Linked DNA regions of Lonchura striata. The protein of the gene in region 3 interacts with the protein of the main gene of each other region in a pairwise test. Links are inferred from orthologs where the notes say so. Each region holds a gene or a part of one and is shown on either strand. Other genes may lie near its edges.

What was found.
Region 1: the proteins of STAM2 (region 3) and ARRDC3 interact in binary tests that used the Homo sapiens proteins (3 or more experiments, as listed by UniProt). The two-hybrid records come from large-scale screens. The link is inferred for Lonchura striata from reciprocal best matches to the Homo sapiens genes STAM2 and ARRDC3.
Region 2: the proteins of STAM2 (region 3) and RNF11 interact in binary tests that used the Homo sapiens proteins (3 or more experiments, as listed by UniProt). The link is inferred for Lonchura striata from reciprocal best matches to the Homo sapiens genes STAM2 and RNF11.
Region 4: the proteins of STAM2 (region 3) and KLHL42 interact in binary tests that used the Homo sapiens proteins (3 or more experiments, as listed by UniProt). The two-hybrid records come from large-scale screens. The link is inferred for Lonchura striata from reciprocal best matches to the Homo sapiens genes STAM2 and KLHL42.

What each region holds. Positions count from the first base shown.
Region 1 is NC_134642.1:67,596,637-67,604,335, reverse strand, and holds the start of ARRDC3 (arrestin domain-containing protein 3), read left to right. Parts: upstream 1-4,683; 5' UTR 4,684-4,896; coding exon 4,897-5,176; intron 5,177-7,699. UniProt on the Homo sapiens protein: Adapter protein that plays a role in regulating cell-surface expression of adrenergic receptors and probably also other G protein-coupled receptors.
Region 2 is NC_134611.1:10,220,424-10,227,828, reverse strand, and holds the start of RNF11 (RING finger protein 11), read left to right. Parts: upstream 1-4,405; 5' UTR 4,406-4,635; coding exon 4,636-4,758; intron 4,759-7,405. UniProt on the Homo sapiens protein: Essential component of a ubiquitin-editing protein complex, comprising also TNFAIP3, ITCH and TAX1BP1, that ensures the transient nature of inflammatory signaling pathways. Promotes the association of TNFAIP3 to RIPK1 after TNF stimulation.
Region 3 is NC_134610.1:1,560,496-1,568,427, forward strand, and holds the start of STAM2 (signal transducing adapter molecule 2), read left to right. Parts: upstream 1-4,915; 5' UTR 4,916-4,984; coding exon 4,985-5,024; intron 5,025-7,932.
Region 4 is NC_134607.1:11,073,668-11,080,625, forward strand, and holds the start of KLHL42 (kelch-like protein 42), read left to right. Parts: upstream 1-3,942; 5' UTR 3,943-3,998; coding exon 3,999-4,894; intron 4,895-6,958. UniProt on the Homo sapiens protein: Substrate-specific adapter of a BCR (BTB-CUL3-RBX1) E3 ubiquitin-protein ligase complex required for mitotic progression and cytokinesis. The BCR(KLHL42) E3 ubiquitin ligase complex mediates the ubiquitination and subsequent degradation of KATNA1.

The DNA.
Region 1 (7,699 bases), on a different chromosome or scaffold from region 3:
AGCCTGCAGTTAGTGTCTTCCTAATATCTGTTTTCTTGATATTCTCATAAGATTGTTTATAAATGTGTGTCTTGTTAATTAGCTAATTGGGTGAAATGTATTGATTAAATGACCAATCAGGTCCACCTGTATCAGATCAGTGTATAAAAGAAGCAACACCAAGTAAAGATGCATGCTTATGCCACTCAGCCTTCTGACTGACTTTTTGTCATTTCTTACTGAACAGTCACACCAACTCTTAAGTTACTATCTTGGCACTATTGGCAGAGTACCATGCCCTGACCAACGGAGTTAATATCATGGCATGTTGGAAAGATCCTGTAACAAAAATACACACTTTGCATAAAAGAAACTTTATATAATCACAAATATTTTAAGATTTCTCTGCAAAGTGCTAGTCAGAAGGAGAGATAAACATGAAAAGAGGGAATGCAGAAACAAAATTCAAGAGAACATTTTCCTCAGTACTACTGCGACTCAAGCACATTGCCAAATCCTTCTTCCTCGCACTATACGGTAAAACCCCATCAGAAAAGTTACATGTTACATCAAAAAAGTTACAACAGCAAAACATGTTACATGTTACTAGACTCACAGTAAAGTTTATTTTGTATCTTAATCACTCCTAAATAATTTTGATTTCATAATCCTGCATATTCTCATAGCCTTTACAATATCAGTGACCATCCCAGGTTTTTAAACATGACCACGTGTATGAGCCAGGTATGGAAGCTCTGCAGCTATGGCATGGACCAAAGTGTCACCTAGCTCCAAGACAGCTTTAAAATATTTTAAAGAAAAAAACCGCAAACTAATAAACATTTCAAACAGTGCTTGAGTTTTGAGACTGAATATTTTTTTTTACAGTATGTGCCTTCTGAAAGCAGAATCATCAGAAATACAGAACGCTCTTTCTCAATAATAAATGCTATCATCTAAAGATACAGATAATACGAGAAAAGCTGCTCCCAAATCCTGGATCTTTCAAATCCAGGAAACAGTTTCAATCTCCAAGTTTCTTTACATCACTGATTATTTCTCCATTAAAAAAATAAGCCCAAAGGAAGACTATTTAGCAAAAATTTCTGTTCTTTCTACAGCTCTGAGAGATGAACAACTGTTCCAGTGGAGATAGTAACAAAAAGAAAGTCTGTAGACATTCTTCTGAATCCCGGAGTTTTGGAAAAAGTTCCTCAGTACACAGATCTACAGTACCATAAATTAACTTTTTTATCTCACTATTTTGATGCGACAATATTTCACAAATGTAGCCTCACAAAGTTATGATGAGGGCAAACCTCATTTCTCTTATTTTTATGAATAGATTTGGGATCAGACACAACAAAGATGAACAGAAACAAGTCCATTAAGAGAACATTTCACATGTTTCATTCATTCACTGCACAAAACATAGAAACCATTCTGGAGCATGAGTTTTCTTTTCAGGATTCTCCCTTTGATAAGGACACGTTAACCTTCAGAAAACACGCATCTTCTATTCTGACACTCACTCTAGCCCATTCTCTGTGTACAAGGTAACAGCTTCACAGGGAGGGCAAACACTGTCTCCACATCAAATCAGGCCTAGTCTCAAACCAGGATGGTCTGTAAGAAGATGGGCTCAAAACCTGGATCTTCCTACTAATAGTAGTTTATTGATGAGTCAGGAGAACTTTGCAAGCTTTTCTGGCTTTGCTTTTAGAAAAATGTAATGACTGTTATCAAGATCATTGTGCATAATACCCACCCTTACAGATTTACCAAGTGCACAGTGAGAAGACTGATAAGCTACAAAGATTCTAAATGGACCTAACCTCTGGATTTTGAATGGTCTTCAGCATAAATGTATAATTACGTCACATGGAGGTTGAGAGAGTTCTAGGCATAGGTTGTTTTATTTAAAAAATAAGAAAATAATTTTAAAAGGAGAAATAATTTTTAAAGTTCCAAGGGAAAAAAAAAAAAAAAGACAAACAAGGAAGACTTTGCCAGTTTCAAGAAAGGGTTTGTAAAATAAGGTATAATCTTTATGCCTTTATGGAGGCTGGAATATTGCCATCTTCCTTGGAGCTACTAACTTCAATAGCAGACACCATGATCTTCATAGGTTCCACCAGTTAAAAAAAAAAAAAAAAAGAAAGAAATTTGGCTTAATTAATCAAATTAATACTTTTTTAAAACTTTATGTGAATTTTTGTGGACTGTATCATGCATAAGGCCTGTAAAAGGTTAGTGAAGGCTCGTGATAATTCATGTGTGTACAAAGTCTTCACTGCCTATTGTTGATCTAAGATGATAAGACCTGATTGTCTTTGCAACCAATTTTTAAAATCCCATGTCAGGATCTATAAAACTTTTAATATTTAACTAGAGTATAGCTCATTTGACAAATGCAAAAACTTAAATCCTGAAAAATATTTGGTTAACTTAACATCTAAAAAAATGCTAAATATTTTTGGCTAAACCTCATAGTATATTCTCCACTTAAATAAAATAAAATTAATGTTTTGGTGTATTTTTTTGTTGTTGCTGTTGTTGTTGTTGTTTTTGACAAAAAGGCTCCATGGAAAAATGTCAATTTTGCATAAATGCAGAGGCCAGAGACTGGTGAAAGTCAGTGCTGGCACTTCACCATCCTTGCCACAAGGTGGCATGACGAGTATGCTTTAGGAACACAAAAGTAAAACGAATACACTGAAGTATTAAAAAGAGCAGCAGAGGCTGAATGTGTACGGGTGATTTTTGGCAGGATGCAGGAAATGTATACATATACATACATAGATTCTTCTGCAGAGCTGTCAGTCTGAAGTTTAATATGCATAACACATGATTAACTAAACTATGTCAGCCTGTTCAGTGGTCTAGATTTAAATCACATATAGCCATACACGAAATATGGTGATCTAGGAGATGGCTGATGTCTAGTGAGAGGGGAGGTAAGACAGGGCTATGAGGTCTGCAGGGTATATACAGGGGATGATTTGCAGCAGCTTAGTGAAGTATTTTATTTTTCTTCAACAAATTTGGAATAGGCAAATGCAAACAGTACACAAAGCATGCTGCACATACCCCAACTATGTAGGATGATCCTCTTTCTTACCTATCTAGATTAAAAAAAAAAAAAAAAAAAAAAAATCCAGATTAATATCCACTGGAATAACAGATTTGTATCTTCAGCTTCCTGGAAAATGCAATTGCTCTTTATCATGTCTGCAGATTTGTCCTTGGGCAGGTGAACATTAAGAACCAGCCCAGAATTGGCAGAACAGGAGATATGACCCAAACCCTGTGGATGAAATCTGCATCCCACCTGGCTGCCAGCTTTCTCAACTCCTGTAGCAACTGGAGACCATGGAATTGTGGCTTCTATGACTCATGAAAGACACAATTATCTTTTAAATTACAGAATAGAATTAAAATGTGCAAATAAACACATGCAAGAGACTACCTGAGTCTGAAGGCATGAGAAGAACAAAGAAACACTGTCAGAAGAGAAATTTAATCAACTCTTCTTCTCTTGAAAGTGTTTTTTTTTATGGTTGGACTACAGGATTTTGAAGGTCTGTTCCAGCCTCAATTATTCTGTGATTCTAAGAGCTAAGGAAGTATGAATGCTTACCATGAGATGCTGCAAAAGCACAGAAAATCCTAATTTACCCACAAGAGACTTGAATTCCTTTGGCCACAAAAAAACCCCACATGAGAATATCCACAAGGCCAAGGAAAATGTGACTTTTTTTACTTAAGAAAAAACAGCAGGAATAGGCAAACACTTCAAAACTTAACCGTTAGCATGAAAAGTTAGCTGTGTATCTCAGTTTAGTCCCCCGAAAAAATGGTGTCTTGGGGTATGTCATCCACCACCATCATACTTCTCACTGAAAATTTTGTGTCAGCAGGGAAGTGAGCTAGAATTAGAAAATGTAGCATTAAATAACCAAACCCAGAGCATTTACCAGAGAAACAGGACAACCAAAGTAATAATGAAAAAAAAAAAAAAAATCAACAGTTGGAAAAAATTCCAGGGATGATTTACAGTAATGTAATTTTTATTGCTAGGACAGTCATTGATACTGCCGTAGATAAATTCAGGTTAATCAGTACTGATTTTCAAAAGTTAACAGAGAGGATCCTCACATAGTACAATATGTACTACCCTGAAAGCCAGGACTGCTTTTTATTTCTTGCCATGATTTTCTATCATTTCCTACCAAGCTTTGCTCACTTCTTTCCCATCTTTAGACACAGACACATACACACAGAGATAAAAAAAAAAAAAAAAAAAAAAAAAAAAAAACGAAACAAGGAAGAAAACCTAACCAAACAAACCAAAGCAGCAAAATCCTACCAACCAACCAAAACCACCCCAAAACCCAATGACCAAGAGAAGGAAGGCTTTGCCAGTTTCAGAACAAGGTCTGTCAAGTGAGGCACAACTTTGCTGTCTCCGTAGAGGCTGCAATACTGCCATCTGCACCAACAGAGCATCACCTGCGCGGCGTCCGCCGCAGCACACGACCCGCTCCGCCCGGCCGGGCGGCACAAAACGCGCTCCGCCCGCTCCCGGGCGGCGGCGGCGGCGGCGGCGCGGAGCCGGGGCTGCCCCGGCGGGGCGGGGCGGGGCATGCGCGCCCGCGCTTGTTTGTCACACGGCTTATAAGGCGGGGCCGGCGGCGGCGCGGCAGCGCCTTTGTGGGGAGACGCCGCGTCGGCACCAGCGCCGCCCGCGCCGCGGCCGGGGCTGCCCGCCGCCCCCATGAGCCGCCTGTAGGGTACGCGCCGCAGCACCCTGCGCCCCAGGGGCTCGGGGCTGGTTGTTTTTTGGGTTCCCCCTTCCCCCTTTTTTTTTTTTTTTTTTCTTAACAGTCTATTTTTGTACACTTTGCTATAAAAACCATGGTGCTGGGGAAGGTGAAGAGTCTGACGATAAGCTTTGACTGTCTGAATGACAGCAATGTCCCTGTTTACTCTAGTGGGGATACAGTCTCAGGAAGGGTCAGTCTAGAAGTAACTGGGGAAATCAGAGTGAAATCCCTTAAAATCCATGCGAGGGGCCACGCTAAAGTACGTTGGACTGAATCGAGGAATGCTGGATCCAACACTGCCTATACACAGAACTACACCGAAGAAGTGGAATATTTCAACCATAAAGACATCCTGATCGGCCACGAGAGAGGTAAGGGCTGCCCTTAACTGTGCTGCTTTATTTTTTTATGGAAAAAAAAGCACGCATCTTTGTATCACCCTGGTTTAGTCCTGTCTTTTAATTAGGTGCATTGGAGAGCAGGACGTGCCCAGGGTCGTATCTTGGCAATGGAGTTACATGTAGGAAATGCATTTGCAAAGTACCTGCAAGCAAGAGGACTCCCTCTGAACTACTTGCCCTTCATTACGGCTATATATTAATATAAGTTTTTTCCGAGTGTTTTACCTTTTATTTTTTCCTTGGTGATATTTAGTAGGATTTGCTGTTCCGTGGGGAAAAACAGCTGTAAAATTACAGCCAGATGGGCAGCGGACTTTATTGGCAGAATCCTAATTGAAACACAGCGAAAGCATAAAAACTATACTTTTTGACACATGAGGGGTTCTGCTGATGCTGTTGGAGTGGTAATACAATGCATTTTTCAGGATGGTTGATTATTTGCAGATAAAAGGGTCTCCCTAGCTTATTTTGACATCTCACCACCACACGTGTAATTTTTCCCTCATTTCAATATTCCCCTCGCCCTGGTAAAAAGCTTTAATTTCCTTGGGCCGCCCCTACACCCCGCTGGGCAATGGGGGTCACCCCGATGTAAAGATGTGTCCGAAAAGCCCTTGATGAGGAGCAAAAGGAGGGGGAGGAGAGAGAGGGGGGGAAGCGATATTGCGTAATGGAAGCATCTCTCCCAAAACTGGGGAGATGAGGACTTCCTGCTCCCCACTTCCCACTCGAGCCGCCGTGGTGTCCCCACGAAGCGCAGACTCCTTCCCCTGGGGGGTGCAAGCGCCAGGGCCCGGGGGTTCTCTGTGGTTTTTTATTTCTTTCTCCCCCGAACTTCGCAGCCTTTGTTCGAAGCGGTTCAATCCTGTTTGGGACCGGCTTTGTGGGAGGGGGGTGGGCCGCCCGCTCCGCGCAGATTGGCCGCACTCGTCAGGTGGTGGCGATGACTTAATTCCCCAGTGCAAGAAAATAATGTTAAAACCCGGTTATGTAATTTTTTTGGGCTGCTTGTCCCCCCTTTTTTTTTTTTTTTTTTCTGAAAATACATCATATACACAGCAGCGATGCGATATTTCTCGTTTTTTCTTAAAAAATAATAAATGTAATTTTTTAACAACTCCGGGCGGCACCGAGCGCCTTCACACAGTATTCCCGAGCTCAAAGCTGTAGCAGAACTCGGGCCTTTTTTTAGTTTGTTTTTTTTTTTCACGTCTCGAGCACACCGCGCTAACGAGGTGACTTAGGGCTGCCACCGCCTCAGAAATCAGACACCTGAGCGTAACTTCCCGCGGGTTCCAAGAGCGTGGAGACGGGAGTCTGCAGCCGCGCAGCAGCAGCCGCCCGTGGCGGGGGGAGCACGCGTGGGAGCGGGCGGGCCGGGAGCCCCGCGGAGCCGCGTCTCGGCTCCGGCCGCGTTTCGCCGCCTGCCCTCAGCGCGGCCCCGCGGCCCGGCCGCGTTTCGCCGCCTGCCCTCAGCGCGGCCCCGCGGCCCGGCCGCGTTTCGCCGCCTGCCCTCAGCGCGGCCCCGCGGCCCGGCCGCGTTTCGCCGCCTGCCCTCAGCGCGGCCCCGCGGCCCGGCCGCGCCCTGATTGGCCGGCCGCGGTTTGTTGCCCTGTTGCTAAGGCGATGCCCGCCGCTGATTGGCGGGGCGCTGGCGGCTAGGGTGAGTGAGCAGGTTTCGCTGCCTGCCCCCGGCGGGCAGGGGCCGCTCCCCGAGGCGCTGGCTCGGCGCAAAGCCCCTCAGAGAGAGAGAGGCGGCAGGGGGACGTGCTTGCGCCCCGTCTCGTCCCTGCCCCGTCACCTGAGGGGTCTGCCCAGCGCGGGCGGCGGCAGGGTCCGCCCTGGGTGCGGAGCCGGCGGCGGGGCTTGGCGGCGCTCCGGTTCAGGCCGGTCGGCTCCTGCTCCAGCCCGCGCTGATTGACAGCTCAGCACTTGTTTACCGCGGCGTGGCGGGACTGCTGAGCTGGCAGGAAGGGGGGGGAGCGCTGCTTGCAAGCTGTGGCTGCGCCGCTCTCCGCCAGGCTCCCCCCCCAGCCTCGGGAAAAAAAATTAAACAAAAAAGAACAACACATAAATCATATTTCTTATTTTAAAAAATCGTATTTATTATCATAAAAAAAAATAAACCAAAACAAACGCAAACCAACAGTATAAAAGTCCACCTTCAGGCCGACACATTTTCTTGCCTTTTCAGCACATTTTCCTGACCTACGTTGAGTAATGTTGCGTGCTGAAGGTGTATTTATTTCCACATCTTGCTGATGGGACGGGTTTTTTTTGTTTGTTTGTTTTGTCATTCGTTTCTAAATTTTAGGTATTTGCACTCCAGGAGGTAGAGCATCGCCTCTTCTATAGGACAATAGAAACTCAGAATCCCTCCATTAATGCTTCAGACCATCACACATAAGCTGTTCTCTTTCAATTTGTCTTGCTATAACCCCTTTTATAATTCCAGCCCTTTTTGTCTGCGAGGTGTTCAGTCATTTTTCACTC
Region 2 (7,405 bases), on a different chromosome or scaffold from region 3:
TAAATCTCCAACTCCATCACCTCTTGCCCTAGACCCACTGAACATAAAGAAAAACGGATTCCTTCTCTCTGCAGAGAAACATTTTCTATTTTTGAAAGATCATTACCATTTTTCCCAACACCTACCTTTTCTTCAGACTAAACAACCCCAATTCTTTCAATTTTTCCCCTCAGATCATGTTTTGTAGGTCTCTGATCATTCTTGAAGTTGAGACTGTGGCAACATGTGGTACAAGGGGAAAAAAAATTATTCCTACACAAAATTCCCCAGGAAGCTGGGCGACAGAGGGTTTGTTTGAAGAGGTTACTTTTGTATGATGACTGTCTGCTTTGTTTCTTGGGTGTTTCAGTGCCAAAATACATGTTCTTTCTGTTCTCTGTGGCTCAGAGAACAGGGCAGGTGCCCCAGGGCACAGGATAGGCATACATTACACTCGTCACTGAAAAAACATTTTGGACCTGGGGAAAACCGTTATTAAGGAAAGCAAGTTATTCTTGCCAGTCATGGAATACTTCTTCTTACCAAGATGGTATATTTGGGATAAATTGCTTTAAGTGGCATATTTGTGATACCAGTATAATTTAGGCAGAAGTTTAAGTAATTTTTAGAAACATGAGTAAAATCCTGCATCACAAAGTACATTTCAGGGAAATATATTAGTTCCATAATTGCTTTCTAGTGCTGCATTCACTCTGTCTCAGAAAGCAATATGCATTTGTAACATACACTGAGAAATGTCTATGGTTCAGCTAAAATCAACAAAACTAAAAATAATCATGTGCATTTTAGAAGATGCCATGTTCTTTATAACCACATAAATTAATTCCACCATCCTCATAATCAGATTCACATACATAATGGAAGAATGTAATTTACTTCCATTCTCCAGAGGTATACAAAGTATTTTTTTTTTTTTTTTCCTTCCAGAAAAAGGTTTTAAAATTGCATTGTGTTCTATTCACCAACATTACCCAAGCAAACAGAGTTATCTCTGAACCTCTGGGTAGCATGGCATGGAAAGATTGCACTCAGAAATCAACTGGGCTTCTGTGTATGAATTGGGAAAACAATCCTACCCAGAAGAAAGATAAGACCTAATGAGAGATGATAAGTGTTGGGAAAATAAGCTTGATGGAAGAAAAGGAAGTGAAAAAACTTTTCCATGCTGAGGACAGAAAAGGTCTTTCGAAAACTTTTGTTAAGCATGACATATTAAACATATCCAAAATGTTATCCAACAATAACATGAACATGGATCACGTAAAATGGTGTTATCAAAAGATCTTTCATCTAAAAATTAGGCAATTTATGACGCCAATATTGTAGAGGAACTCCTAACAAGAAGGACTTTTTATGTCTCCAGAGGATTTTAGATTTTGAACTCAAAAGGAAATGGATTTTTCAGTAGAACAGTTCATCACCTCCGGCTACCTCATATGAGCCTTAAGAATATGTCAATATGTCATTTGCCTCCTCTCATATCAAAAGCCTGTAAAATAAAACATAAACTTTGTCTGCATAGTTTAAAACTCTTTTTCTTGAATTTCCATTCTGTTTTGAAAGAGAGATTTCACTCAGAAGATGCTAGCTGTCACAAGGTGGTGAGGACAGACCCATGTGTGACATTGTTGTATTGAGGTGTACCAGAACATTAATTCTGTATGCTGGCAAACTTCAGAACTTCCCCATTACCATTCTGAAAACAGATTACAGCCAACTGTTTAAATGTCTAGATGTGAGGAAAAGTTTCATTGACTTGCCTTGCCAGTTCTGTATTGATATTAGTCTGACACAAATTTTTGTATTTGCATGATCTTTTCTGTCTGTAGTATTTGTGCAGCCCTAAACCACGACATGAATCTTTCTTCCTCTACAGGAGCATTCTAAGGCTCTAGAAAATCCATTCTGACTATTACGTGTTCCCCAAAATTAGTAGAGGAAGTAAAAACCAGAGAGAACCGAAGTAATCAGTTAAACTACACCATGGTTCTGCTAAAGCAAAGAAACCACACTCATAAATCACATCTTCTGAGGATCCATCCCTCTACTTCCTTGTCCCCAACCTGCAAAAAGTGTGGTAGCAAAAGGAGTAGGCTCACAGCTACATCTCAGCATATTCAGGGATATTAAAAGACATTTGTGAACACTAAAATGTTTCCATTTTCCATATCCTCAGACCTTTGTACAACTTTTGAGCTGATGGTTCAAAGCCACTATTAATGACCTATCTGGCAAAACAGGAGTGAATGGCCAGGAAAAGCAGTGCCTTCAACCACCCCAACTTGAAAGAGTCCAGACATGACTGGTAGTAGCTCTTCCCCCTTCAGAGCTCTCACAGGTGCAGTCTGTCTTGTTGCAAGGCCAAACATGAACCTCTCTGCTTCCTCTTTGGTCTCTGTGAATCCACCGTGAAAAGCAGGTCTCTTCTGGCATTTGACAAGTCTGCATTTTTTAAAACATGCCCAGATTTGGAGCATCCTGTACCTACTAAGGGGAAAGTTTTAACTGGGCTTAGCAGCTATTCCTTCTGGAGATCGGCCACAAGGTAAATAAATGCAACATCTCTACCATGAGATGCAGAGGAAATCCCACCTACATCCTGACTGTATATCAGGATGAGACCAGTTTGCACTCTGGTTTCCAAAGAAAGGCTATTTTGGCACGTCAGCCAGCAGGGAGGCACCACAGGTTTCCATAGGACCTCCTCACTGTGGAGGATCAAACTGTGATCACAGCCTCACACCATGGCACAGTGTGACCTGTGGTTTTCACTGAACTACATCAACGACACAGGCCTGAGCCTCAGAGAGAAAACAAAACACAAGATAACAGCTGAGTAACTCAGTCCTTCTAGCTGCCCATCATCTTGTTCCCAATGGTGCCAGTGCACAACTCAAAATACCAGTGACAATGCTGGAGTTTCATCACCAGGTTCTCACAGCAGACAGCTCTGACATTGCCTTAACCTTGAAAATCATGACTGGGTGAGGCAGTGGTTCACTAGATCCCCTCCAACAATTGCTTGCCTAATTCTATTAAACCAAGCCAACAGACTCATAGGATAAACACCCAAATGAGCAAGCCATGTACCACAGTCATTATTTACAATGCACCACTGCAAAGCCTCTCTATCTTGAGCAACACTAAAAATCCTGCCCGATTTTCAGTTTCTGTTTCCTTGAAAAGCCTGAAGCTGTGTTAGAACACCATAAATGGCAGCAATCACAGGCTTTACACCAGGGTTGTTTAACTTACCCTTTGATAAGCAGCAAAACAAACTACCCTAAACAGTAATAAAATGAAATCTACAAGAATGAACTCATAAGGATAATCAGCAAAAACTCTGATCCCAGACTGAGGTCCACCAGCAGAGGTTGTGGAGGCAAATACATAACTGTGAATGGCATGTCTGGAGATATTCTGACCCAAGAAGTTGCAAAGCAGGCCCAAGCTGTATCAGCAGACAACTTGGTACTGCAGCCACGCTGTACTGCTTTACAGACTGGAATTCGCAGCTGCTCTCATCTGCACCGTATTTGCTTCACCTTAAAAAATACTTCACTTTAAAAATTGGATTTTAAAGTATTTTCCATTATGTGACTCTGAAGGCCAAGGATGCATTTTGAGGAACCAAAGAACACTAACAGGACCATCACATATCCCACGCTGTGTGGGTTAGTGCTGGCACACTAACACAGTGACACGGGGGCATTCAGTATCCTCAGATTTGCATTTATCAGTACTTACCTAGACTTATATCCAAGTATGGATATATTTTTATGAAGGCAAAAAAGAGAAGATAAATATATGGCTCATTAGAGTACTTGCTCATCGCATAAAAAACCCTTTAGAAACGCAAAAGCCAAGTGCTGATTTTGCTCCACTCTGGGGCTCACTGCCCTGTGCCTAGACTGACCGTGCCGCTGGGGTCACGCCAGCGACCAGCACGGGGAACTCTTCCCTGCCTGGGGAGCCTTGGGCAGGCCCCGGGCCTCGCACAAAGCGCCTCAGCCGGGGCGGGCCGGGTGGCGCGGGGGTCGCCGCTGCGCTCCCGTCCCGCCGCGCCGGGCCCCGCCATGCCCGGAACACAAACAAACACCGCGCTCGGGGGCGGGGCCAAGCGGCTCCCACCATCTTGGGGCCGGGGGAGCCCGGCAGGCGGCTGGGTTCCCCAGCCCGTCCCGTCCCGCCTCGTCCCGCCGGGGGCGGGCAGGGCTGTCCCCGCGGCGGGGCCGGGGGGTGCGCAGCCCAGCGAGGCCCCGCGGCTGCTCCCGGGGCCGGGCGGGGAGGGGTGAGAGGAGGAGCCAGGGCGGCCCGTGCGACAAAGCCCAGTGCGCAGGGAGCCGGTGACCGGGAAGCAGAACCGCGCCGGGCAGCCGCGGGCGGACCCACCGGAGCCCGCTGCCCCACGGGGGGTGGGAGGCCCGTCCTGCCGCCCCCCCCGGCTCGGGGGTCGGGGCGGCCGCGGAGCGGAGCGGGAGGCGGCCGGGCTGCAGCTGCTAAGCCGCTTAGGGCCGGGGCTGGCATGAGCCTCCCCGGCGGGGCGGCTGCGGGCTGCGCGCTGCGGCGGGGAGGCTGAGGGCGCGGATCCGGAGCGGGAGGAGGCGAAGGAGGGGCCGCGCTCCCCCCGGGAAGATGGGGAACTGCCTCAAGTCCCCCACCTCGGATGACATCTCGCTGCTGCACGAGTCCCAGTCGGACAGAGCTAGCTACGGAGACGGGGCTGAGCCGGATCAGGAGCCGCCGCCGCCATATCAGGTAGGGGAGGGGGCGGCAGCGGGGCCGGGGGTCGCGGCGCCGCTCGCCCGGGGCCGGTGCGCGCCGCCCCGGGGGCCGCCGCCGCCGCTCCGGCGCTGGGCGGCCCGAACCTCTCCCTTTCCGCCCGCACGTAGCGCGGGGGAAGCCGCTTTGTCTCGGCCGGTGCCGGCGCTCCGGGCGGGCGGGAGGCGGAGGGCAGGGGCCGCCCGGCCGGTGCCGCGTCCTTTGTTGCCGCCGGCGGTGACATCACCGTCTGTGTGATGTCCCCCGCACCGTCTGGCGCGGGGACGCTCCGGGACGGGGACCGCGGGCCCTGCCCGGGCTTAGCCCGGGCCCGCTCGCTCCGCTCCCGTATTTTTAGCAGCATCTGATCCCCACTGAGTAACTCGCCCAGCGCAGCGGATCCTGTTTCCCTCCGTCCTGTGGGGCACCGGCGGGGAAGTGTTTCCCATTGTTCGGTGGGGTTTTTGGTTTTTTTGTTTTTTTTTTTTTTGTTTTTTTTTTTTTTTGTCTCTGGGAGAATCTCTTAATTTACATCTTGATGATGAATCAAGGGGGAAAGAAGGAAAAGGCCGAGCGTGCTTTGATGGCTTTGCTGTCAGCGGAGGGTAACGCCGGTGTGGAGGGAGGATGGCATTGGTGTCGAAGCCTGCGCTTGGCCGCCTCTGGAAGGGATGGACACGAAAAGGGAACCTGAACTTGGGGTTGCACTTGTCTGCTCCCGGACATCTCCTCCCCCACCTACAGAAATGCGTACTGACCTAAACAAACGGTCTACAGCACTGAAAAATGAAAAGGAAAACCATCCAGCGATAGAACTGCACATTGTATTCGAGTTTTGAAAGTATTTTATTGTCTGGGATAATAGCATACATACCAGAGGCATCTACAGAAACACACATTCTGGGGGGTAGGTGTAACTTGAGAGCTGATGTTTTCTAGGATGGGAGTCATTCCCTAATTGCAGAGCTTGATGTATAATTAACAAAATTGCAGGAAGTATTTAACCGGACAGGCATGTAATCTATAAATGCTTTAGCGAGTTCAAGAATTCCACCCTGATAGGAGCCCCGTAAGTGTTGAAGAGAAGCCCTGCACGTAGCAGCCCTTGCTGGTGCCCTGAAGCTGCACTGATGTTTCTTGGCAGTGTGTGCCTGATTGTTTTGTTTGGGTGCAAAAGCTGAATGTCACAATAAATTTCGTGAGGATTTTTTCTGTTCTGATTTCTGAACTATGTCTGCTGAAGTAAATAGAAAGTGCTTGGTGGCGGATCAAGTTTTTTGTGTTGTTCTAAATTAAGCCTGAATGGTTTAGAAGGTGTTGTATGAGGTTTAGAAGTGTGTTGTATTTTTGTCAAATCAGCATAACAAGTTTGAATGTTTGTGCTGTTGATTGCATTTATATCTGTGATTATAGGAAGACTTGTGAAGGTTTTTGTCTTCTTGTTCTTCCCTTTGAAAGCAACCTTTTAGCTCTTGCAAGAGTCAACAACCACGTAAATGCCTTATACAGGCCTTCTAGTGTGGATGTTGAAGTAGAGAAGGACTCTGTCGTCAGAGGTTTTTAAGATTTTTTTTCTTGATGAGGAACTTGTCTGTAAGTGTGGATGGTTGACTGAGAACACGACAGACAGTAAAATAAATGAACCCACAGGTGTCTATTATCGAGGAAGTGTATTCATAGCAAACCTTCCCTCAGCTGAAGAAGCTGTGCAGCATCAGGTGATGTGCCCACAGGCACTTGGCTGTGTTGAACATCACTGTCTGTCCTGAAAACTCCTCCACTGATCCTGCCAGTTCCTAAAGCTTCACCTTAGGGTAGCCTTTAGTGTCTCATAGTCAAAATCAAAGCTACTCTTTCCACAGGTTTTGAGCCATGATGGATTGTGACTTTAAAAAAAAAAAAAATAGGTCTTAGCTACAATATTATGCAATATCTGTGCGCTTTAGAGGTTGAGGGGATTTATAATTTTAAATTAGTTAATATTTACAAGATACACAAAACTCTTAAGTAGGAACAATTGCTAATGCTCCAGTATTACTTCTGTGCTAGAAATAAGTCGCCCATTTTAACTTTCAAGTGGCAGCTCAGAGTCAGTGTTGGAAAGTTGTGGCCTTGTTCCTGGTAATGACTTCTTTCAGTATCTTAGCCAGAGTTAGTGTATAATGAGTAGACATTAGAAATGAAAGCAGGAAAGGGGATAAAGCAAGTTGGAAAACTTACTTGTGGCAACTAGCCTTGAGAAACTGGAAGGTGAAGAGTTTTAAAGCCAGCTGCTGAAATATCAGCTGCATATTTTAGAAGAAAGTAAAATCTGGTGTCTGTTGCTGTTGGGTTTGCAGCAACAGTATGTCAACTTCCTGAGTAGCTCTTGCAAGGTATGCAAACTAAGGGAAGGAGGTTTGCTGGGGGAAGATACACAGTTGTAGAAGATGACTTCTGTATTATTTTGACATTTAAAGTATTTTTTTGTGTTCTGACAGGATTGTGCCAGGGATGTTCATGTGAGACTCCTGTTATGACTTAGTATTTATTTACCTATTGAGTTCCAACTGCAAAATGTACCCCCAGTAAAAATTGCAGTATAGCATGTGGAATTTCTTTGATCAGTGAGTGCTATTAAACTGGCTGTGTAAAATTCCTACTT
Region 3 (7,932 bases):
GATGCCAAGACTTCCAGGCAGTGTCCATCAACCAGGGCTTTTGCCACTGGAATTGTCTCTCTGCATTTGGGAGAAATCTGGATGTAAACTCTGGGCGGGTGCTGTGCATGGAAGTGGGGAAAATCTAGGATCCATTTCCTCTGTGGCAGCTACTGTAAGGAAGAGGAATGCCATCGTGTAGCAACAAGAAAATAAAGTGTGATTAAAAAACCAAATGCATTCCTGTTGACACCAGCTTGCTTCCAACAGCCACGTGTGGAAAAGCGTCGGAGACGCTTCCGTGAGGAAACTGGAGTGGCTGAGCCGAGTGACACAGCCAAAGGAAGCTGAGCAGGAATGAATCAAAGCTTTAAGCAGCGAGGGGATGCTCACTGAAGTGGCATCAGGCTGTGTGTGCAGTGAAAGGAGTTTTATGAACGCAGCCCAGCCTTTCCATGCTGCCTTCTCCTGCAGGAATATCCCCACGGAGACAAAGCCTGTCCAGCTGCTGAGCAGAGCTCTGAAAGCCCAGCACATTCACACTTTAAAGGGTGAGCTTCTCACCTTCCAGGAACACCACAGCAGCTCCTCGCTCCCATCTTGGAATGCTTTCCATGGAATCACTCTGGGCATTTCTCTGTTTCATCTGTTTTGGGGCTGTGCGGCTCCCACACGGAGAGAGCGGCGTAAAAAACAGGGAACAAATATTCCAGCAAACCACAAAGTAAACGAGAGGGCAGCTGGAGGAATGCAGAGGATCCAGCCAGGCACAAAACAAAGCTGGAAGCCTGGACAAGCTGCTTCTGTGCACCAGGAAAAAGCTTCCTGGGAGCTTCCCGAGGGCTTTCAAAGCACTTTGGGGAATATAAATTGTCCTTTCAAACAGCTGCTGCACAGGCCAAGGCTGGAGATTAAATATTATGACAACATTTTGTAACAAAGAAACTGGGAAAGCTGAGTTGGCCCCTGGATGTGGGGCAGGGCAGGGAGGAGGGGGAGCAAAGATTCCCTACAAACCCTCTGGATCCATCAGGGACTGGACACGGTGCAGGCAGCTGGGCCTAATGGTGGGAACACAGCTGGGACACGGGGGCACAGACTGCTCAGGGAGACAGAGATTCCCAGAGCCAGAGGCTGCAAATACAGCTCTGGAAACAGCTTCTTTTCAGATCATTTTGCTGTCCTCTCCTCCTTGCTTCTCCTTAAGGAATAGTTTGTTCCTCCATTACTCCGTGCCCTGATATTTTCCTTTCCTTTCTGTATTGTTGTTGATTTTTACCATTTCCTGTGGGATTTTTCCTTTGGGAATTGTGGCTCTGGCTGTGGTGTCACCCAAAGCAGGAGTTCTGTAGGTGCTCCTGGACTGGATGTTCTCCACGACTCCTTGGAGCTGGGAGGCTCAGACTCAGCGGAAAGCCCTTCCCAATCCTTCCTTTCCAGGTGGTCTTGGATGCGTGGTCCCACCATGTCCAAAAGAGAATGGAGCAAAGCTCCACGTTTGATTTGAGGTGACAAAACCTATGGAAATGGAGGAACCATCCCTTCGTTTCCACGGCCAGCTGCTCTGACTGCGGCACCACGTGGAATGAGTGGAGTTCATGAAAGCCAAAACTCTGGAATTAACCAGGATCCATTCCAAATTCCCACTTTGGCCAGACAACATCAGTGTTCGGTGCCTTCCCGTGCTAATGGGTTCATAATTCCTCTTTTAAGGCAATTAAACCAATGAATGCCGTTCTCGTTCCGAGTCGTTAAATGAAAGGAGAAGTTTCGATGCAATTAGTGAATTTAGACCTCGGGAAAGACTCTGCATTTTGTCTTAAAAAATCTGGCAGGAGGCGATTCCCAGCAGCAGGATCGGGATGGCAAAGGGTGGCCGGGAATGCGAGGCAACTGTGCCCCCTGCAGACAGCCGGAATCCCTGGAAAAAGCCTGGAAAACCGGGAAGGGAACGCTCCTTGGACCTCCACCGCCTCCTCACACAGCCCATCCACTTCAAGGCGTTGAGCTGAAAGGTCTCCTCCAACCTTGCTGATTTGATGGAATTCCAGAATCAAAAATCCCGACAGAGAAGCTTTGATAGCCCCAGGTCATCACAGCTGATTTAAAACCCAATGTTTTGAAGTACAAGATGTTCCAAAAATATGAGCTGTTTTCATGACAAAAACGAAGCACTACATTTTTGTAGGAACATCTCCAAATGAAATTTTAATAAATAATAATAATTTATAATTATTCAAATGTATAATTCAATTCAATTACAATATAAGAATTAAATCTCTTTACAAAAGGTGCTAAAAATACTGTTTTCACACGTGCTCTGAATCTTACACTTTGGTATTACAGCTGAGGAAAGGAATGTGGCCCCTGAAATTCAAGGTGAGTGGGCAGGGAAATATCACTGAATCATACAGGAAGCTTTCAGGAATGCTGCAATAATTTGTGTTGGACTTCCAAAATCCTGCCCTTCTCCCAGAATTGGGAACTGTGCTGCTGCCATGCCTCACTTTGCCACAGGTTCTTTGGGAATAACTCAGAATTAGCCACAGGTTCTTTGGGAATAACTCAATTTGCCACAGGTTCTTTGGGAATAACTCAGAATTAGGCAGTGGGTGCTGTGCTTTGCCACAGGTTCTTTGGGAATAACTCAGAATTAGGCACAAATTCTTTGGGAATAACTCAGAATTCAGCAGTGGGTAACGCAGTGACTCAGGCCCGCTCCCACATGGGTGACTGTGCATATTCCAAAGGCACCGGTGCTGGGTACAACCCCTGACTCATCCCACTTGTTCCTCACAGGAAGGACTTGGAGCTGATCCCCCAGCAGGGATGGGGACAGGTGGTGCTCAGGTGTGCCCATAATGGGGATTTTTGGGGGGCCACACATCCCAAAAATCTGAACTGTCACTGAGCCACGTTCCCTGTGGAATGTTCCTGTTTGCCACCATCCCTCCACAACCTGTAATCCCCTCATCTCCTCAGCCAGTTATTAATTAGTGTCCTCTCTCCTGCTGGTTAATGATTCTCTCGTTCCTCATGCTAATTAATGCCGTGCCCTTGTCCCGTTTAGGGTCAGGCAGTTTTTTACCCCCTGCTGGAATTAATTCCCTTTTACCCGGGCACAGCTGATTTCACCACAGCCGCTGAATTGGCTCTGTTGGTTTCTTCCCTGCCCCGGGGGCTCTGCCAGATGCCTTTGTGGCCTGGGAATCCGGCATTCCCTGGATCCACAACCAGGAGAAATCCTTCCTGCTGAATGGGAATATTGAATTCCCTGCATCCACTGCCAGGGGAAATCCTTCCTCCTGAACAGGAATTCTGCATTCCCTGGATCCACAACCAGGAGAAATCCTTCCTGCTGAATGGGAATATCGAATTCCCTGGATCCAATACCAGGGGAAATCCTTCCTCATGAAAGGGAATCCCTGGATCCACAACCAGAGGAAATCTTTCCTCCTAAACGGGAATCCCTGGATCCAAACAAGAGGAAACCATTCCTCCTGAATGGGAATCCCTGTATCCACTACCAGGGATTGAAATCCTTCCTCATGAACGGGAATCCCTGGATCCACTACCAGGGATTGAAATCCTTCTTCATGAACAGGAATCCTGCATTCCCTGGAAATTCAGCTCAGGAAACAGCTTATTTTGGATGCACTACCAGGAGAAATTTTTCCTTCTGAACGGGAATCCCTGGATCCACTGCGAGGCAAAATCCTTCCTGCTGAACGGGAATCCCGCATTCCCTGGATCCACTACCAGAGGAAATCCTTCCTCCTGAATGTGAATCCCTGGATCCATAACCAGGGATTGAAATCCTTCCTCATGAATGCAAATCCCTGGATCCATAACCAGGGATTGAAATCCTTCCTCTTGAACGGGAATCCCTGGATCCACTAACAGAGGAAATCCTTCCTCATGAATGTGAATCCCTGGATCCATAACCATGGATTGAAATCCTTCCTCATGAATGTGAATCCCTGGATCCATAACCAGGGATTGAAATCTTTCCTCCTGAACGGGAATCCCTGGATCCACTACCAGGGATTGAAATCCTTCCTCCTGAACGGGAATCCCTGGATCCATAACCAGGGATTGAAATCCTTCCTCTTGAACGAAAATCCCTGGATCCACAACCAGGGCAAATCCTTCCTCCTGAACGCTCTCAGCCTCACCTACAGCTGACCTCACTGGAGCTGACAAGCCCTGAATTTAACACAGCAGTTGCAGCCTGAGGAATTTGTTTTTCCGGCACTGTACATCAGTGGGAGCTCGCTGGCTGCTGTCTCCCACCGCCCTTCCTGGCGATCCTCATTGCAACCTACAAAGAACTAACACCAGAGAACATCCTTCCAAACACCAGAGCACATCCTTCCAAACACCAGAGAACGTCTTTCTTAACACCAAAGAACTTCCTTCCTAACACAAAAGAACTTCCTTCCTGTACAAAACCTTTACGCATTCCACATTGGACAACAATCATGCAGGACCCTGCCTCATGACCCGCTTCCCCTGCAGCTCTCTGGGAAATTTTTTCAGCATTTCCAACGGTTCACTGTTTTTATTTCTTTTATTTTTTTTTTTTAACTTTTCCTCTTGACGAGCCAGGACGAGCTGCCCGCGCAGTTTGCGCCCTCAGACAAGCGCAGTTCGGGTACAAAGGACGAGCGGCGCCCGCCGCGCTCGCTCCCTCAGGCGCCGCCGCGACATGGCGGCGGGTCGCGTCGGCGCGCCCTCAGCGGCAGCTCCGCCCCGCGGGGCCCCGCGCCGCGCCTGCCGCCGCCGCGCTCCCGCCGCCCGCCCCGTTCCCCTCATCGCGCGGGGCCGCTCCGCTGTTCTCCCTCCCGGCCGCGATCCCGGCGGCGCTGCGGGCGCGGCGGGGCCGCGCGGCGCTGCGGGCGCGGCGGGGCAGCCCCGCGCGCGGAGCGGCCGAGGCGGGGCGGGCGCGGCGGCGGCTCCGGCCGGGTCAGGCGGTGCGGGACGCGCGGCGGCACGGCGGGCCGAGATGCCGCTCTTCGCCGCCAACCCCTTCGAGCAGGACGTGGGTGAGCGGCGCGGCGGCGGCTGGGCTCGGCGGGGCGGCCTGCTCGGGCTGTAGATTCTCTTCTTCCTCCTCTTTTTTCCCCGCTTCCTTTTCCTCCTCGGCTGTTTCCTTCTCCTTGTCCTCCTCTTTTCGCCTCGCTGTTCCCCGCGCCGGGGGTCGGCGTGGGTCCCGGTGGGTGATCCCGAGGAGGGCACCGTGGCCCGGCTGGGGCAGGAGGGATCGGCAGCCGTGGGGTGAGGCCGGTGTGACACGGGGTCACAGCGAGCCCCGGGAGTGCTGGGCTGGGAAAGGGCCTGGAAGGCTGGAAAAGGCCCTGGGAGGGGCTGGTGCCCAGCTGGGCAGGAGGCCAGTGGTCCCTGGGCTGTGCCAGCCCGGTGTGACACAGCCCGGGGCAGTGCCCGTCCCTGTGCTGGCACTGCGGGGACACCGCAAGGGTGGGGACTGCTCTGGGACAAGGGAGACACTGAGGGGCTGGAGTGGAGCTGGGAAGGGAATGGAGAATCCCTGAGGGAGCTGGGAAGGGGCTGGAGAATTCCTGAGGGAGCTGGGAAGGGAATGGAGAATCCTTGAGGGAGCTGGGAATGGGCTGGGGAATTCCTGAGGGAGCTGGAGAGGAAATGGAGAATCCCTGAGGGAGCTGGGAAGGGAATGGAGAATCCCTGAGGGAGCTGGAGAGGGGCTGGAGAATCCCTGAGGGAGCTGGGAATGGGCTGGGGAATTCCTGAGGGAGCTGGGAAGGGAATGGAGAATTCCTGAGGGAGCTGGAGAGGAAATGGAGAATCCCTGAGGGAGCTGGGAAGGGAATGGAGAATCCCTGAGGGAGCTGGAGAGGGGCTGGAGAATCCCTGAGGGAGCTGGGAAGGGAATGGAGAATTCCTAAGGGAGCTGGGAAGGGAATGGAGAATTCCTGGGGGAGCTGGGAATGGGCTGGGGAATCCCTGAGGGAGCTGGGAAGGGAATGGAGAATTCCTGAGGGAGATGGGAAGGGAATGGAGAATTCCTGAGGGAGCTGGGAAGGGAATGGAGAATCCCTGAGGGAGATGGGAAGGGAATGGAGAATTCCTGAGGGAGCTGGAGAGGGGCTGGAGAATCTCTGAGGGATCTGGGAAGGGAATGGAGAATCCCTGAGGGAGCTGGGAAGGGAATGGAGAATCCCTGAGGGAGATGGGAAGGGAATGGAGAATTCCTGAGGGAGCTGGAGAGGGGCTGGAGAATCTCTGAGGGATCTGGGAAGGGAATGGAGAATCCCTGAGGGAGCTGGGAAGGGAATGGAGAATCCCTGAGGGAGCTGGGAAGGGGCTGGAGAATCCCTGAGGGAGCTGGGAAGGGAATGGAGAATCCCTGAGGGAGCTGGGAAGGGGCTCAGCCTGGAGCCAAGGAGGATCCCCAGGGATCTTTTCCCTCTCTGGAATTCCCTGTCAGGAGGGGACAGCCGGGGGGATTTGGGATCATCCCAGGGAATGGGACAGGAGCAGAGGGAACGGCCTCAGGCTGGCCCAGGGGAGCTCAGGGTGGGACCAGCAGGAATTTCCCCATGGAAAGGGGCTCAGGGATTGGCACTGCCCAGGGAGGGTTGGAGTGCCCATCCCTGGAGGTGTCCCAGGAATTCTGGAGGTGGCACTCGGGGCTCTTGGCGGGGACAGGGTGGGCATGGGGCACAGCTGGGACTTTGGGATCTTGGAGCTCTTTTCCAGCCTCATTTCTGGGATCCTGAGCACCAGAATCCCAAGGCTTTTCCCAGAAGGGAATATCCATCAATCCCACCCCAGCAGCAGAGGTGGCCCTGCCCCAGCTCCTCCTGGCAGGGAACATTTTGTGCTCCCCCACAGCTCCAAATCCCTCACACCAACAACAGAAAAGGAGCCCGGAAAGTCCTTAAAATCCTATCTTTTGCATTTTGGGGGAAAAATTCTTCCTGGCAAGCGTGCTCAGGCCTTGGCAGGGGCTGCCCAGGGAGGGTTGGAGGTGTCCCTGGAATTCCTGGAGGTGGCACTCAGGGCTCTGGGCTGGGGATAAGGTGGGCTTTGGGCACAGCTGGGACTGGATGGGCTGGGAGGGCTTTTCCAGCCTTAATAATCCCGGGATTCCTCCTGTGGCTGTGGTGGGCCCAGGGCACACCTGACACATCCTGGCCGGGCTGGGGGCTCTGGCAGGGAAAGGATCCGTGGTTCCCCCCTCTCCCTTCCCCTCAGCAGCATCAAGGAATGGTTTGTGCCTGTTTTGCTCCGACTCCTGAAATTTCCCAGCGTTTTCCAGAGGTGTCTCTGTGCATCCTGGCCTCGCCATGGCGTTTGCAGGGATTCGGATACTTGTGGCTGCTGGAAGATCAGCTGCTTTTCATCCTTTTATTGAGGATTTTTTCCCAGTGGCTTCCCCAGAACCACACAGAGGTTGGGGTGGCTGTGCAGGGCCAGGAGCTGGGCTGGATGATCTTGATGGATCTTTTCCAACTCAGGATATTCTGTGCTTCAATGATTACAGAAGCTGCCTGGAGTTGGGCTGAAGACGGTGACTCAGTTGTTTTGTTTTGTGTCCTGCCCTGACTCGTGCTTCCTTAAACTCGTGCTCTGTGTCACTTTTTTGTTACACAACGTCTGTTCTCAATGGCAGCACTGAAAAAAACAGTGAAATAAGTGAGACACCAGGCTCAGCTTTCTTGTTGGCACCCTAGGAAAGAGAAGAATTCAACATTCCTGGGATTTTTGTCCTGGCCAAAATGGAAGAGTTTGAGTGCTCTTGTTGCCACACAATCTCTTGTTTCATTTTGAGCTGGTTTCCTGGTTTATTTATTATTTTATTTCTAATTTCAACTCCCTGGTGCAGTTTGCTGTTTGACCACACTCACATTTCACGTGGCTCAAACTGGTGTATTTGTTCAGGTGGATTTTTTTGGAACTCTGCAGGGTTCT
Region 4 (6,958 bases), on a different chromosome or scaffold from region 3:
TTACTCAGTGTGGTCTTTTCCTCAGAGCATTCAGGTTAATGTTACTCTCTGGTTCTCAAGTATTAGACAGTGTCTCCCTGGCTTCACTTTTCTTGTCTTTGTAGCAGTAACTCCTCCTGAGTCTCTGTGATTCCTTGCTATTGCTATGTTGGGAAAGTCAGGGGGCTACAAGAAATGTGTGCCCAGGCAGAGAAAGGCTCAGATTCTCTGTGTCATGGCTGAATGATCTATTACAATGGAGTTGCTGTATGAAAAAAGTTTCTTCCATTTATTTTCTTTTTAAAATAAAAGAGTGGTCTCTCTTTGGCCTTGGAACAAATTCAGACATTAACTACAAGGAAATAGTTCAGGCAACAGAGACAGGGAAAAATTATGTAGCACAAATAGCCAAGGCAACCCTGGAGCAAGAGAGCCTTTACTGACACTCTGGTGTCTGCACAGTCCCTTTGCTGGCACTTGAGAACCTTTTTTCTTGGTATCAATTTGTCTCTCAGGTACTGTAAAGAGAGGCCTGAACTGCCTAAAACACTTTGAAGCCCCAGGAGCCAAAGTCCAGAAGACAGATATTGAAATGCTGAGCAGAGTTACCTTTGTCTTCCCCTCTGTGTGTCTTGTTCTTAAGCACATGTTCTTTTGTCATAAACTCATTTAACATTTTAGATTTAAAATCTACCATGACGTTTTCAAGTTTGATGCTTCAGCATGTTCTTCAAGGATGATAGAAAGCCCTTCATATTTGTTTCAAAGATCATGCAAATCTTTTATGGCTCTGAACTATACATTTCAGCTTTGTAGCTCTAGAAATAGAGTTCCAACTCTGGAAAATATATTTCTTATTCATTTAAGGTACAACCAAGATGATTGCTGGTGAAACACTTTTCTTTGATTCCATTATAATAACATCTATTATTGATCTTAGAAAAAAAACGGTTATAACTGTAGAGTGGAAGACAGACAAAATTATCTCCACAAGAGTGGAACAAAAGAGTAGGCCTTGCCTTGGTGCATTTGCATTTGCTCTATAAGCACATCACACAGGCTGACTGATAAGTGTAGAAAAAAATAAGGGACCTGTTCTGTCAGCACAGTCTGGCTTAGCACAACTGCCTGGCCCTGAGCCTGGAAAAAGCACAGAGAATTGACAATCAGCCCAATAAAAACAACTGGGTAAGGAAACAGGCTTTTTGTAAAAGTGCCCACTCAGTACTGCTGACCTCCTGGGCATGTGAGAGCTCCTGGGGAAAGCTGTGGGAGTCATGGCCATCGAAAGTTTGCTGGCAGGAATAAAATGTTGTATTTACATGTCCTCTGAATAGAGAGAGATTTAACTTTCTCAGGATTTCTCCTGAGAGAAGCTGTGAGAGAAGCAGAGGAAAGAGAATCAAAACAATTCTTATCTCACCTCACTGGTTGTTGTGCACATGTGGAATGTGTTAGGAGATTGTTTACACAAGGTGATTTCTTAATGGGATACTGGTGATGGTGTTTTGGATTGATTGACCAATTGGATCCATGTGTGTGTCAGGACTCTCAGCAGAGAGAGTAACGGGTTTTCTAGTTACTTAGTGATAGTTCTTGTTAGTGTAATATAGTTTTAGTATAATATAGTATAATAAAGTAATTAATTAGCCTTCTGATATCATGGAGTTCTGCACATCATTCTTCCCACATCAGGGATCCCAGCACCGATAATAAAACACTACTGTATGCCAGAATTGATCCCACTCATTCACAAACCTCATGGACTGTGAGGAAGAAGGACTGGAAATCCTAGGCAGAGTGGCAGGCATAGGCTCATTTGGCAACATACAACCAGAGAAGAAATATTTCATCCACTCAGGCTGTGGTGTCAACACTTTGAGGCTGAATTTACCATAACTGACTACATGGAAAAACACATTCACCAATTAGGAGCTAATTTATGAATCCATGAAACATAAGAGACTCCAAAGCAGATGTCTAAAGATGGCAATCCTTCTGTATTGCAACAAGACAGCTTGCTGGCCATGCCAACCATGAGATCTCTGTTTTCCTCAGGAGTAATAATGATTAAAATTGGTTGAAATGCCTGCCTGTGGGAATTAAAGGACAAGAAGGAATTAAGAGTTGGACTCCTACTGAGATGGTGAGACACTTGTGTGTGATAATCTTTTGAAGGCTGAACCTGAACCTTAGGAAAAAAACAGCCGAGTGCTCACACAAACTCCAGCTAGATGTAAGAAACTCAAAAAGCAAAATGTGGTGGTGCTTTATTAAGAACAAAAGATGGGAGCCTGGAATTTGAATGTTAATTAAATAATGACAAAGACTGAAAGAGGAACACAAACCAAGCAAACAGTGAAACACAGTAGTAGGAAAGAGAAGGTGAGAGGTGATGGTGACCCAGCTAGTGAAGAGATCTCTTTTATGTCTGGTTGAGATCCTATAGAAAAGGATTTCAGAATATGACATGGGCCCCTCAAAAACAAGATGATGAAGATGTTTGAAGTGAGGTGGAAAACAGACATGCACAGAAATCTACTTCACCTCAAAAAATGCTTTTATAAAAGCAGAAAAGAACACCTGTAACTGACGTTGACATTCGTGTCATATCCAAGGGCTAGAGTTAAGATAAAGATCAACAAAAAAGTGATAAAGGGTCACAATCATTTCATAGAGGAAATGCTAGAAAGTAAACAACCCTGTCTTCCTTAAAAGAGAGGGAAAAAACTCCCACAAATCAGACTAATATGACATGTTTTAGTAGTGGGGAGAAAAAATCCCTTCTGAGCAGTGAAAATAAGGAGTTGTCTGAAAACTAAGCAAGCTGCACAAACTGGACATGAGTCACACTACTGCTAAAGGGAAACATTTTCTATGGTCTGAAGGACAATATCTGAAGGAAATATCTTTATAAAGATAAATATATATTTTGAACATCTTTATAGTACATATCAGCATATAATAGAATACAGGCATGGCAGACTTCTCATCTATTTTGGCAGATGGCAGGGTTTTTTTAAAATAAAGGAGTGTTACTGTGTTTGAAGAATATAACAAGGCAAACAGCAAATCTATCATTTTACCCTTGCCCAAGATGCTCAGTTGTTAATTTGCTCTTTCCCTGTTCATGTCAAAAAAATTCAGGGCTCAGTTCTTCATTTGCTCTTTTCTTGTTCAAGTCGAACAAACTCAGAGCCCTGGTACGCAGCTCTCTCGTGAGATGTACTGTTGCAAGCACTCAGTTTAAATAGAAGAGACGGAGCAGCAGAACAGGATGCAGTGTCTTCACAGGGCGAAGCAGGCGCTGGGACACGCAGGGAGCCAGGAGGGTCAGAGCAGAGTCACGCATCGCCCTTGCCATTCCCGAGTCCCTCTGCTGCTTGGGCTGTGCAAGGGGAGCCCGGGGGATTCCGCCCGGGAAGGGACGAGGTAGTGCGGGGATGCGGGGATGCGATGGCACCAGGCTGGCTGTGCCGCTCACACTCTGCTTTTTCCCTGCGCCTCGGGAATGCTGCCCCTGGGCCAGGGCTGCAGCGGTACATTTATGGCAAGGGGTCAGAGCTGCGGCTGCAGCTGCGATTCCGGCCCAAATCAGGAGAGGGGAGCACCAGGGGGGATCGCTGCGCCTCTGGGCTGTCCCCTGGAGCCCAGCACCGGCCTTCCCACCGTGCCCCTGATACCTACCCTGGCTGGGCCCGGGGGATGTCCTGACGCCCCCCACCCCCCCCCCCCCGGCGGGCAGCGCCGGAACGCTCAACATTGCCTTTTTCGGGCTTCTTTTTCCTTTCCTCCCTGTATGCGGATTTTTTTTTGTTTGTGGGTTGTTTTTTGTTTTGGGTTTTTTTTTTTTTTTTCTTTTTTTCACTTCCCCTTGTCTCTCCTCGCAGCGAAGCCGCCCCGCCCATCGCGGCCCGGCTCGGCCCATCCCAGCCCGGCTCGGCCCATCCCGGGCGGCGGAGGAGGAGCCGGCGCGGCGGCTCCGGCCGGGCGCGGCGCGGCCGGGCCCGCTGTGAGCGATGTCCCTGGCGGAGCGGCGGCGGCAGGAGGAGGAAGGGGAGCGGGAAGGGGAAGCGGGGGATGGGGCCGGTGCCGGGGAGGAGATGGTGCAGATCCGACTGGGGGACAAGTGCTACCCGGTGTGCAAGAGGAAGCTGATCGAGCAGAGTGATTATTTCCGAGCGCTCTACCGCTCGGGAATGCGGGAGGCAGGGCAGGGCCAGGAGGAGCAGCTGCTGCGCGGGGGGCTGAGCGCCCTGGGGCTGGAGCTGGTGCTGGACTTCATCAACACGTCCTGCCTGGCCAGGCTGGAGCAGGAGGAGGGCGGCGAGGAGGAGCCGCCGCTGCTGGAGGAGCTGGTGGAGGCCGCGTCCTACCTGCAGGTCACGCCCCTGCTGCGGCTGCTGCTGTCGCAGGTGCGGCTGGGCAACTGCTTCGAGCTGCACCGCCTGGCGCAGGTGTACGGCCTGCAGGACCTGCACGACGCCTGCCTGGACTTCATGGCCGCCCACTACCACCAGGTGCTGCGCCGGCCCGACGCCCGCCCGCACCTCCTGCTGCCGCCGGCGCTGCAGCAGCAGCTGCGGGAGCGGCGCATGAGGGGCGCGGCCACGCTGGTGCTGCTCGGGGACTTCAGGGGCGCCTGCCCGCCGGGGCTGCCCGCCGGCTGGCACCCCGCGGGGGACGCGCCCTGGGCCATGCTCCGCTACGACGAGGAGGCGCGGCGGTGGCTGCCGCTGGCCAACAACGTGCCCGCCGACCTGGTGAGCGTCCGTGGCTACGGCTCGGCCACGATGGACAATTACTTGTTCATCGTCGGCGGCTACCGCATCACCAGCCAGGAGATCTCGGCCGCGCACTGCTATAACCCGTGCCTGAACGAATGGAGCCAGCTGGCCTCGATGAACCAGAAGAGGTAACTAACCTCTGCTCCCCGGGGTACGCGTGTGTCTCTGCCTGCTGCTGAGATAGATCCTCTGGAGTCACATGGCGCTGGTCAGCCTTAGGGATTCGATGCAGACCTGTCTGCGGTCTGAACCACCAAACAAATCCAATGACAAAACTCCTTTCCCGCTCTCTTGTTGGTGTATTGTAACTCTAGTTAAGTATGTGACAAATATTCCTGGTCTTATTGGGGATGTACAGGCTATACCAGAGCTGGAGATGGCCAAAACAATTCAGTTGCAAGCAGTTGTCCTATGGTTTGTACTTTCAAAAAATCTGAATGTTTTGTAGACCTGCACTTCAGTGAAATACCAGGAGAACGTCAGAAAGATGTTTGGTGAGAAATTTCTCACTTGATGGGAATGTTTGGATCTGGGAATAATTAATCGGTTTTTTACCTTTATCCTTTTGAACCGTTTATTACGCATTGATGTTTTAGTTTGCATTTAGAAACACTTGCATAATTTATACTTGAAAGAGTAATAGAGACCTAGCCTTGAGGAGGGCCCAAGAGCAGAGGCCTTTTCCCTAGCCAAGGCTGTGGCTCCTCTACCTTAACCACACTTTGGAGTGATAAAAAACAGAGGCTTTAATTTCACTGAAACAAACTGGCTTTATTTCCAACATGAACTTCCTCTTTCTTTCCATTTTAGTAAAAGTATTTTAAAATTTTTTCTCTCTGAAAAAGAAAAAGTAAGGAGGCCAAAATTCACTGTAGAACGGAAATCCTCTTCTCTGTCTAGTGAATTGAGTGAGCATGCACAGAGACCCAAGCCATTGGCATAAATGCTTTGTATCTGAATAGTTAAACTGCAGTTTCTATTCCAGGCTCTATTTAGCTTTTGCCACCTAAACCCCCTCAATAGAGGGATTAGACCTAAAATTAAGTCTTTCTCATTTCACCTTTTTTTTCCTCACACACTTGTATTGTGAGAATTCTACTAAAATAATCACCTCCTTAATCAGTCATCACAACCGATCAGAAACCATTTTTCTTAGTGTTTCTGACTGCTTGGAAAGACAGTGGGAAAAGTTTTATCTGTAAAACTAATGCTTGGATTTAAGCATTACAAACACCTTTTCTTACAGACCTTTCTTAGAGGCTCAGCAGAATTCCCTGAGGTGCCTGGGGAACAGAGATGTTTTAGATAGCTTCATTCGACAGCAGGACTTGTGTGAATGGGGTTGGGAGCACTTGGCCTCAATAGGAAAGCAGGATGGGGTCAGCCCACACAATGTCTCCTATGGGAATTAACTTCATTAACAGAAGTGCCACATTGATCAAGTCATGAGGTTCTGTTTCTGTAATGTCTATAGCAAGAGAGCTGTTACTATGTATGTTGACTCTGAAATGTGGGTTCTAAAAACTACATTTTTGAGGCCCTTATTGCACCTTACAGTTTGTGTATTCAAACTCTAGATCAGCCTTTTTTCCTCCACACTTGCCCTTTTTTTTGTTTTTGCTAGGTGGTATAATCATTATACTTGAAATAAACACATGGATATTTTCTCCTAATACTGTTTTCAGTGGTACTGTCACATCAACTTCATCTTCAAACCCATCACAGGTGACAGCAAGGTGTTCTCTAGAATTTCACATTGGCCATTTACTGCAGAAAGGCAGCAGGCAAATGGATATTTTTTAGAATAATCTTTAGTCTTAAATTCCATGGTAGTTATTGCAGGCCAAAAAGTACCCAGAATTACACCTGCAAAGTAGCAGTGAGGATGTTGTTCCCTGAGTAACTGCGGGGACTTTTTTTCATGGAAACTCAGCTGACCCCTTCACAAAACACATTTCTGATTTTACCAGCTTCATGGTAAAATGCAGTTAATTATTACTTTTTCTATCTGGCATAACATGTTGGCTCCATGATGACCTGCTTGGTGCTTTGTGGCAGGGAGGGATGGCCTGTGCTCTAGGAGCCAGGAGCAGCACCATTTTTAACATGAGGGGTTTGCATGCTGCATGACCAGTCTGCCACACATCTGTGCTGCAATTAGACCTGCAGTTTGCTTGCCATTGTATTTTTAG